2 linked regions of the Yarrowia lipolytica genome follow. The protein of the gene in region 2 interacts with the protein of the main gene of each other region in a pairwise test. Links are inferred from orthologs where the notes say so. Each region holds a gene or a part of one and is shown on either strand. Other genes may lie near its edges.

The links. The genes of interacting proteins can lie anywhere in the genome.
Region 1: the proteins of YALI1_E25761g (region 2) and YALI1_E01904g interact in binary tests that used the Saccharomyces cerevisiae proteins (3 or more experiments, as listed by UniProt). The link is inferred for Yarrowia lipolytica from reciprocal best matches to the Saccharomyces cerevisiae genes AKR1 and STE4.

What each region holds. Positions count from the first base shown.
Region 1 is NC_090774.1:187,930-193,045, forward strand, and holds YALI1_E01904g (uncharacterized protein), read right to left. Parts: upstream 2,477-5,116; coding exon 1,334-2,476; downstream 1-1,333. Other genes in the region: YALI1_E01885g (uncharacterized protein), read right to left, coding at 19-627, 691-792; YALI1_E01935g (uncharacterized protein), read right to left, coding at 4,055-5,116. UniProt on the Saccharomyces cerevisiae protein: Implicated in the a- and alpha-factor response pathway. The beta and gamma chains of the putative yeast mating response pathway G protein play a positive role in initiation of the mating response.
Region 2 is NC_090774.1:2,573,212-2,579,206, reverse strand, and holds YALI1_E25761g (uncharacterized protein), read right to left. Parts: upstream 3,051-5,995; coding exon 942-3,050; downstream 1-941. Other genes in the region: YALI1_E25812g (uncharacterized protein), read left to right, coding at 1-550; YALI1_E25729g (uncharacterized protein), read right to left, coding at 4,191-5,995. UniProt on the Saccharomyces cerevisiae protein: Palmitoyltransferase specific for casein kinase 1. Palmitoylates isoforms YCK1 and YCK2 at both C-terminal cysteine residues, which is required for their proper plasma membrane localization.

The sequences.
Region 1 (5,116 bases), about 2.4 Mb from region 2:
TCTAGGCCGTCGTCCCCGCTACGCCACCTTGTTGAGTAAATCACTCAGACCAGCATGCACCTTGACGTAGAACTCGTCGTCCTTGGTCATGCTCACGAGATTCTTGGGTTTAGTAAACGCCTCTCGTCTGAACGAATCGGCCCAGTCGCTCTTGTCCTTCATCTCCTGATGCTTCGTCACCTGTGTCTTGATCCATCCTCCCATGCTTTCGAATCGCTCGGTGATGGGAATCCAGTTGTCCATCAGACGCTTTTCTTCCCCCAGACAGAGAAAGCCGTACTTTCGAATCCCACCACGAGACTCGTTGTCGTTCACCTTGAACACGTAACCAATGGTGGCTCCAGATGAGTCGCCAAACATGAGAGGAGTATCCGAGAAGGTGGTTTCACTACTCAGCAGCTTGAGACAGGCCTTTCGAACCTTGGAGTAGTCATCCTCCCCGACGGCACATTGAGAAGACACGTATGTGTGCTCGCCAATATTAGATCGTAGAGTTGTGGCATCATTTGGCAGGATCAGCTGGCAATTTGCGCACGTCGAACACTCGTTTGGTGTGGTCTCCTTCGTTTTCTGACAACACAGTATCGAAGTCGGGCCATGCAAGTCGCAGAAATGTGCAAAACAGAGCTGGTTAGTGCTTGTTGTGTTCGTTGCAACCCTTAGGAAGCCTTATCCTCTCCCCATACTCACCAGTAGTGCCATGATTTGGTGCAAAAAGGTGTTGGTGGATGCGTTAATGAAAGTTGTTGTTCTGCACGTCTGCCCCAGATTAAGAACTTTATCATGACCCATCACAGCAAAAAAAATTGACAAAAAATTAGCGATGCCTGGTTTCGATCCAGGGACATCAGGGTTATGAGCCCTGCGCGCTTCCGCTGCGCCACATCGCTGGGTTTTTTTTAATTGAACTTTTTTTAGAATCTCCCAAGCTAAAATCAGTGTCACGTGACCCCTTAAAACTCAGATTTTTGAAGTGCCATTATGTCATTTAAAATGCAATTAAGGGTGGAAATGAGTAGACAGGAGTGCTAAACCGGCAATTCTTTATCTGGTAGGAGGGCCTTTTTTATGATAATTTGGGGGTTAGGTCAAATTCGATGCGTCGTTATGACATCTAAACCGGGTACAAGTAGCTACCTAAAGAGAGTGTGTTCCAGTGTTGGTCAACAATGGTATGGTACTTGTACTTGTACTTGTAGACAATTAAACCAAAATTATACCACCGACTATCAAGCGCAGCACACACATAGACATGCACCTTCTGTAGCCGCTTCATATTATTTCTCATATCGGGTTGATGTGATGTTATTACTGCATACACGTAGACCTCCACTTACAGAGACAGAACTGTCATAGTTTCGTCCCAAGAAGAAGATAGGACACCCACTCCGTCTGGGGAGACCTTTACTTTGGTAACAGGACCAAGATGCTTCGTGATTGGGCCGAGGTAGGTGCATTTGATGGTGTCCCAAGCTACCACTTCACCTGTGTCATGGCCACAGAACATGATCCGTCCTGAGGGTGTTACAGCCACCGAGTTGACAGGAGACATTATGTCTGGGGCACTATAAATGTTCATTTGGCAATCAGTTCTCATGTCAAACAGTCTTGCAGTTGAATCGTCACCTCCAGAGAGAACTGCATTTCCATCGGGAAAGAAGTCCACTGAAGTTACATCCTTATTGTGCCCCTGAAAGGTCTGGACACATCTGGCGATTCGGAGATCCCAGATCTTGACTGTTTTATCGTTGGAAGCCGTGGCGACAATCTGCATCTTAGAGGGGTGTTTGGTCACAGAAGAGACGTCTCCTAGATGGTCATACAGGGTCGAAACACGTCGGCCTGTATTGACATCCCAGATGCAGCATGTCATGTCTCCGGAGGCTGAGATGATCTGTTGGTCAGTCAGGAAACACAAGTCCGCCACATATGCAGAGTGTCCCTTGAGAATGGCCATGGGCTCGCTTTTGGTAAGTCCCTTCATTCTGGTCGACGACCCTGAACCGTAGGGAACAGAAGGGTCTGTCTCATCAGCCGACTGAGTCATGGAGTGGATTGAGACCCTGTTATCTAGACCACCCGATGCCAGGTAGCCACACGAGGGAGGTAATGCACAGGAGAGCACGTAGCAGCTTGGAAGAAGGAAGACTCTGGACTTTAGAGACGAGTAGGCGTCCCACATGAGAGCCAGACCGTCCATAGCTACACTGAGCACATATTGTGAGTTGGAGGCCCAGTCGCAGCTGTTTATCTTGCCTCTGTGTCCCTTGAGTTTGTGTCGCACCTTCAGGGGGGTTGAACTGATGGGCCGGAGGTCTGTGGCAAGACTTGGAAGGGTGGCATTCATAAATTGGCTTCTCTGATGAACAATGTTCTCTCTCATGGCGGCACATTTGCCTTTGAGTAACGACAGCCGCTCATGGAGATCTTCAACGGTGGGGGAGGGGGGAGTATCTGGCCGGAGAATATCTGTCATTTTCGCGCGTGGATGAGTTCAAGTTGGTTGCAATTTCTAGTGTGGGGGACTCCACCATGCAAATACCAATTCGTGTCTGCCACATTGATTCCCCGTTATAGCTGCGTGCATGCTTACTGCATGAGCTCTGCGGAGTAGATGCGGAGTAGATGCGGAGTAATATACAATATACATATAGCAAGGCGACACAAGGAAGGGCCACAAACGGAACACCCAAAAAATTTACATAAGTGGGTCTTCAAATAATAAAACGTTTGGCAAATATTATCATTACTGTGCTGATCAGGAGGATAAAAGTATAGTTTAGTTGGCATGAAAATATTGTGTGTGTGTTATCGTGTGTAATTATCTCGTTGAGCCCCACAGATGCTCCACCACTTGACTTGTTCCTATAGACCAGATATGGTCAATTGCCGAATATGAAGAAATTATGCAGGGTTCGAAGATGGGAGGTGCAATGGGACCACTTTTTATCAAACGGCCCCAACAGCAACGAAGGAGGAGACTCAGCTGTGTAATCTACCTTTATGATCTTCGCTCTGTAGACTCGCTAGTATAAGGTACCGGGTAGACGACGAGTATGTATACATGTATACATGTGCTTGTCACCACCAATCTAAAAGAGCTTGTTGAAGTGACGGTCAGGGGCGTATGAAGATGGTGAAAATGACGTTATTTTATTAGAATGCGGAGGTTTGTGCTTGCTGTAGAGAACCGACCTCGGCCTATTATCAAGTGCAGCTTCTCACACACACCTGTAGATCCCACTGGAGTCTCTTCATGGTTACAATTCTCCAAGGGGTGGAGGAAGCGATTAGGTGGAGTAGATTTACACAATTTCCTGCACAAATGGCACTCTGAGCTGCTACGATTCGGACCGTCAAGTGCCCATTACCCGATCAGACCTGCTATTGTGTTCTTTTCAACTTTTCCAGCAACACCACCGCCAACTTTATCCGTTGATGTAACACTGGCAATTTGCACATTGGAAAAAGGAAAACCATACTGCAGCCGGCAAGCTCAAAGTCACTACTTGTACCATTGGCGCTTCTCTCGGCCGTTGTAACAGCTTAATGGAGCCATCGAAGGGCCGTAGCAACTCACAGGCCAAGCCTATTCAAGATTGACACAGAGCAAGGTCTTGTTATGCGTTCTGTCGAGGTGAAACCAATATTTTTTGACAGCCAAAAATAGCGGGCAAATGCAACCAATTAATAGACCCTGGAAGTCTTCATGCTTGGCCTTGCACACCTTAATCTACACCAACAAGATTCTCTCATGTAATGAGACAAAAATATTTTATACGATCGTCAGTGAGTCAAGGCAAGTTATGGTATAGAGATGTAGAAGTAGTCCCACAGTGTGTACAGGGCCCGACATTCTTCACCCTCCAAGGTACAACATTGGCCTTGTACTATGTACTGTACTGTACTCAGGAGTAGCCCAAAGGAAACGAAAAACAACCCTATCGCTGTGTTCCTGCCGTATTCCATCTCCCCGCGCCTATCAAACTCGGTTGATCGTCGCTTCTTTGTTAGGTGAAAAATCAAGGGTCTATGTTTAAATAAAAATGATGGCTTATATAGAGTGCGTGGGCGAGACTGCTCCTCGAATCCGCTCCTGCTCTTCACCTTGGACACCACCACTGAGCACCACATGCGGCAAGATCTTGTCCAAATGACACCACGTGTTGAGAGGCATTCGGTACATGGCTAGCTTCTCCGTCAGCTCCCGCAGATACTGGTACGTCCAGTCGCGCTTCTGCCCATTGAGCACTCCGAGCACGTGGAATGAGTTGGACGAGTCTCCCAGCGTCACCTTGGAGTAACTCCTGTTGTTGGTGTCGACAAACATCTGACCAGTGATGACAGGGGTGCGGGTATCGAGCAGGGGCATCAGCGAAAAGTCGCGTCTGTACGACAGGTCTAGCCTGGTCTTACCAATCGGCACAAATTGAGAAGATGCATTCATGGCCCATTCAACCAGCTGGTTTCGATACAGCAAAAAGAAGCGGTTATCTACTATGAAGGGATGATGCTGATGTTGCGGATGCGTGGGGCCATGGGGGGATATCGTTGAACAGAGACGGAACGTCTTACTGTTGGCCCAGTCAACCCAGAAGAAGTCATTCCGCTTCAACACAGGGTCCTCAAGCGAGTTGGAAATGCAAATAAAGGTGTCGTGGCCGTACACAAATACACGGGCGGACTCGGAACACGGCATGTGTATGCGAATAGATTGTGTTTTGATGTTATTCCGGCGACCTGGAGCAATGCACTTTTGTCGCAACAGCTCGTATTCCTCACACAAGCCAATGGAGCCGGTACTGGAGTCAGAAGTAGAGCCAGCACTACTGCTGCCCGAGTGACCCAACCGATGCCATTCCATTTCGGGAGACATGCCTGGAGCCAGTTTAGTGGAGCGTAAGCGAAGCAGAGCCGTGAGATATCCGTCGTACATGGCCTTGGACACGTGGAAGCGGCGAATTACACGGTCATCCTCCAGTATATTTCTAACTACTCTCCAAAACCACGTTTTGCGGGCGTAATTGAGTTCTTGAACACCGTCTACCGGAGGGGTGTACACATTTGATGCATAGTCGCCATAGGTTTGTGGATAGATGGGGAAGTTGTGGGTGAA
Region 2 (5,995 bases):
ACCCAAGCGGTCGAGAAAGTCGGCTCCTGAGCCTGTTGAGATGCGGGACAATGTGGCTCAGCTTTCACGAGAGGAACGAGCTTGGAAGAGAGCTCGAAGGGGAACCGTGGGACATGAGAAAGTGGAAGTAAATACTCCGACAGTAGAAACTCCGTCAACAGGCACCCCGAAGGTGAAGAAGCTACATTGGAAGCAAAAGCTGGCAATGGAGAGGAGACAGAAGGAGGCGGAGGAGGCTGAGGTGGCTGAAACCAGAGTTGCGGACGGTGTTGATGCATCTACTCCTAGTCCTGCTGGGTCCACGCCGACTCCTAGAGGAAGAGGTAGACCCCGAAAGTCTTCTCGGGAAGAAGAAATCCCTCCCGAGAAGACACCTGAGGCGAAGAGACCGAGTCCAGCAGCAACTAAGACTCCATCGATGTCTCCAAAAGTGAAGAAGGAGCCTCTCAGTATGTCGTTTTCAATGTCTCCAACGAGCCGGTCAGGACGGGTTCGAAACCCCACGGAAAAAGCATTGCAGTTGATGGAACAGGGAGAGTATGTGATTTGAAGAGGAGAAAAGGGGAATTACTAATGGTCGGATGGGTTGGATATGTATTTGTACTGTAAATTTATTATGAGTTATGGCTATTTGGCATACAAGTACAAGTATGGTGATCTTGTTTAGGTGGTGTAAAACTTGTGCGTCTGAAAGTTTAAAAAATAAATACTAGTACATACTTGTACTTACTACTTGTAGTAGAGAGACTCAACAAAACTCAGTAACATTGATTGTAGTTTTGAGTGTCTCTTATGAGAAGTACAAGGAGTACTCAAAAATGAATTTCTGTCATACTGTATACTCAAATATTTGCACATGTACAAGTACAAGTACGTTTCTCACACACTCTCTCTTTATACAAGCTTATTATATACGTTAGCGTTCCTCTATCTATCAATGCTCAAACTTGAGACTCGGCCAGAAGAGCCTCTCCATCTTCTCGAGTGGACCGGTTGTTGGTCTGCTGCTGGTTGGGAGACACATCGGGGAAGTCCCACAGTTTGTAGTAGTCCACCGCATGGCCTCCAATGGCTCCTCCACCCTTACCAGCTTCAAACACTGCCAGGAGGTCAAACTTGCCATTAGGGAACCAGAAGTCGAAGCAGTTAGTTCCGGCGCCCGAGTCGGTGGGGTTCTTCTCCTTCCACGACCGATTGTCCCGATGCTTGATGGCTTCACCTGCAGTAGCCACAAACTGATCGACTCCAAGCAGTTTGAGCACCGAGGAAAAGCAGGGCGACTTTGCAGCGTGTCCATGGGCGTTCATAACGGACTTGGCTGATGCTGTGGCGGCAGAGTGGTCTAGAGGGACCGACGAGTAGTCATCAGCACCCATGTAGCCGTACTTTTGCAGGTTGACGGCTTCGGAGGTGGTGAGTGACCTGCAGATCTGGAAAATCTGCACAAAGGACAGGAACGTGATCCAGATGAGTTGCAGTGAGATCCAGATGACAAGGTAGAACTCCAGGGGATCCCATCGCTTGATTTCAAGCAGCTCTCCAAAGTAGGCGCTGTTGAGAGCCAACCAGAGAGGAATGCCAATCTGCAGAAACAGCACGTAGAGCACAAACATGCGGTGGTTTCGGACTCCAATGGCGTTCCACACCCAGGGGCAAAAGTGATCGAACCGGGCCACGACTCGTTTCGACTGTCTACAGAACTTTGACCGCAGCGGCTTTCGCACGTAGGTAACGAAACAAAAGTGTCGCGTGTCAAACTCGCCCCGCTCAATGAGCGTCTCGATGACCTCCTTCTGCTCGGTGATGCCAGAAAGCTTGGGGATATATCCGGGGTCCATGGACATGCATCTGAAGAAGCAGTACATGGCCAGACCAAATATGGAGGCGAAGAAAAAGTTGAGAATGGGGTGGGAGGCAAAAGTAGCCGGAAGGACGGAAGTTAGGTACTTGACTGTCACCCAGAAGGCCGAGCCCGTGAATATACCTGCCTGGAAGGGTGATTTCAGTAGAGCAGCATGTCCGTTGTAAAGAGACGGTAGCACAAGTGTCTTTAGCAGTTTAATAGATCCGAACAGGGTCGCCACGGTGAGAATGATCCCAAAAATGGGGCCACAGAAGGTGCACAGCACCAGGCCCAATAAAATGAGAATGAAGGGGGTGAAGAAACACAAGAGATTAGTGGTTCGGGCGTCGAAGTATTTTGTTTTTTGGCTACCGTCGGGGAACCGTCCACAGTCGTCGAGAGCGCCCTCCAGCTGTGCGGTGGTGTTCATTTCAGCGGCCATGACATGGGGAGTTTTTCCGTCACTGCTTTTGGCGTACATGTCGGATCCTTCTTCGATGAGACGGGCAAGCGAGTTTCGCGAGCCGTTGACAATACCCCAATGTAATGGCAGAAAGCCCTGGGTGTCTGTGATCTTCACGTCCGAGCCCCATCTCAGCAGCACGTCTACCGACAGAGCGTCTCCCTGGTAGGCTGCCCAATGCAGAGCGGTTCGCCCATTTGGGTCCTGGCAATCGACAGGAAGGCCCTGATGCAACAGGTAAACCAGCAGCATGACGTTGGACGAATGGGTGGCGAGATGCAGAGCGTTGTAGCCTTGGACGTCTGATCTCAGCGGATCGGCTCCGTTCTGGATCAGGTAGTGTACAATGTACACCAGTCCCCGGCGACAAGCCCAGTGTAGTGGCGTGCCATTCAGCTGGCCTCCTTTGGCGTCCACCACCGCTCCCTGTTCTACCAGATACTGGCACGTGCTGATTCGGTTGTTGACTGCCGCCCAATGGAGAGCAGTCACTCCATCCTCAGCGGTGTCCAGAACCGAATAGCTGCCCGATTCACATAGCCGCTTGACCTCGGCGGTGTTGCCGTCTCGGGCTGCCACCACCAGCGGGTTTTCCTCCTCTTCCACGTCACTGGTGGCCTCTTCGGCGTTGGTAGTCGACTCCACTTTGCCACTGGCGGTCACTCCTTCGGTCTGGGTGCTCGGGGCGCTTTTGGACGCCACCGAGAGGCCCGAGATGGTCTGTAGTTCTGCGTCGGTGCTCATGGCGTGTGAGCAAGCTGGTTGAGAAGAACTTGGTGGGTGTGGGTGAGGTGTACAGGTGTGTACAGCCTACTTACGCGTCTGAGCCTGTACGTGTGTGCAGTGTATTTGCGCTATGTCCCAACACCACCTTAATCCACAGGCAAGGGCAGAATAATCGCCAGGCAGACGAAGGCAAAATAAGACAAAGTGAAGCAGCTTAGAGTGGTCTTGCCTGGTACATGGAGCTGTAAAAAATAGAGATAGTTGGAGGGCGGCAGTCCGTCACGTGACGCGCCATGAGCTCCCGCTCCGCTTAGCCGCTTCATGCACAGCCACGACTCAGCCTCCAACTAGTAGTCTCGACTCTTGTACTGCACCTCCCACATTGCCGGCTTGGCACCTCCTCGTCTGTAACGCTCGCCAGGGGCATGCAATCAGATTAAATTTTCATTTGGCTCTGTTGGCAAAAAAAGTTCACTAAAATCACGGATTTACGCACCGAGAAAAAGCAAGTTGCAAGGGTCTAAATAAATCACTGTCCCCGAGACCGGGCTGTACGTACAGGTAGATTGATCTGGCGAGCACTACTGTAGATAGCAAGAAGGGGCATTAGTGTTGGTACCTGAGCTGCTAATTATACAGCATGTAGCTAGCTACAGACTGTAAATACAAGCCTGTACATACGATAGGTGTACGAGAGCGCCCTGTCGCCACAGCAACCACTTCCATGCAAAGACCATACAGCACAACGCCGTGTATGCACCGTATGAACTGAAGCTCATCCGGAGTACGGGTTGTACAGTCCGTGATACAACAAAAGTAAATACCAGCCATTTAGTAATAGCGTGAGGTATTTAGAACCAAGTGGTAACGTGTACACTGGTACATTCTGGTCATTGGGACCTTCTCATCCCTCGTCCACCAGCCTCTCTAAAAGTGTGCGACATTTGATAGAGCACATAGAAGAGGCATTTCAAATCATTAGCAGGGTTCAAAAACAGGAGGGTTCACCAGGTCCGTCCACTTTGCTTTCCAATACAGTTCGAGACATCGTGTGACTGCAGCTACCGCGTACCTACATACTGTCCTTCTTGTAGTAGCTCGGACACATTCTTTGATCAATCGTTATTTAGCCGTGTCTACAGTGTTCTAATTGGCCCTCTACTTGAGTCTAGTAAGAATGTCATCGACCTCTGCTGTCATGTCCTTCACCATAGACTTGACTCTCAATAGGCCAGGTTTGAGAGAGCCCAATTTGCCTCCTTCCTTTTGCGAAAGATTGCCCACTAACGCCACAGCTCGGTAGATCATCTCCACCTCTGTATCTTTGTCCAGAATGCGCTGCAGACAGGCCATCAGCTTCTCGTTCTTGACCATAATGGGAGGAGCAGGATCCCACTCGGACAGCATGGCTAGAGCACCCATAGCCGCTAGACGTCCCGCTTCATCAGATAGATCTGTCAGAGCAACCAGTAGATTGAGACGCGAGTTGGCTGCCTTACTTCCGTCAAGATACTTCTCGGCACAGTAGGGCGAAAGCGATAGGTTGCAGACCAGCTCCACGGCACTTCGTTGCACCATGGGGTTCTGCGAAGTCATCATGTTTTCAATCTTCTCCCATCCGTGGCTGATAATCACCTTTCGGGTGGTATCGTCAAAAGAGGCGAGATTGGTTAGAGCTAGGGCAGACTCGAATGAATCCAAAAGAGGGAGGGGCGAAAAGTCGTTGTCTATGTTGGCCAACAGAGGAATGACAGCCACCGAGGCTGAGATTTTGGCGCCGAAAACAAGACTAGGATTGGTAGAAACCAGTAGCTTGGCCAGCCCCGAGGTGATGAATACCTTGGAGGCGGGCTCCAGCTGCGCGTCAGTGTCGCAAAGTATGTACAGAAGCGTAGCCACCGCTCCTTGCTGCGTCAGAACGCCTCTCAGACTCTTTTGCTCGGCCAGGGATGTCAGAATAGTACCTGCTACAGAACGAGCATTGGGTTTCAGCTTGTTAACTAGAGCTGACAGAATAGCTGGGATTTTCAAGTCTACGAGAATCTTGCAACGTTTGTCAGTCTGTTTGGTGATCTGTGCAAGCTCCTCTTCTTTCTCCTGGACAGCCTCGGCATACTTCTTCAAGTCAGCCACTTTCTTTTGATCAGGAGACAGACGAGGAGGATAGACTGCCAAGTTGGCAAACACAGACAGGGCTCCGTAGACCAGCGACGAGTCGTTGGACTTGAGACACTCCACGAGCTGTTTGAGCAGCTCGTCGTTCACAATGATGCCCATTCGCACATTCTGGTCCAGAGAGGTATACGCGAGACCCTCCACAGCCTGTTTTCTGAGATCCTTGTCGGGAACAGACTGCTCAAAAATGGACGATAGCGACTCCAGGGTCGAAAGTAGCTCCTCCTGCTGGGGCTCGCTTCCCTTGGGCTTGGGATCCTTTGGCTTGAAGCTCAGCTTGGTGAGAATGGTGGCAGTGTACAATTTGATTTTTTGCGAAACAGTTGCTTGCAGCAATTGCACGAGGTCCTTCTCGAACTTTGCGCCAATCATCTCTCGGCACTGTTTCGAAACACAGGCTGAAGACAGACAGTCTAGAATGGCCAGCATGGTAGGTTCGGAATGTGTCATCGAAGGGGTCATTTTGAACTGCTGCATCCATTCCGAAGCGAAGATATCGGCTGCTCGGCCGCTATCAATCGAGAAGAGTACTGACAGTAGTGAAAAGGCAGTAATGACGCTATCTGTGGTTTCTGCAAGCAGAAAGTTCTCAATCTGAAAGCCCAATTCCTTCTCAGCCTCGGCGGGAAACACCTCAAATAGACGCGCAATGATCATAACTGCCAGTGCAGTTGTCCGATCTTCCGTCTCCAAACTGGAAACATAACTGGGAGCGATTTCCACCAGTTTCTTGAACGTGGCTTTGTCGAATGGCTTCTTTTGCATGCAAATCACCTGAAGATAAAAGT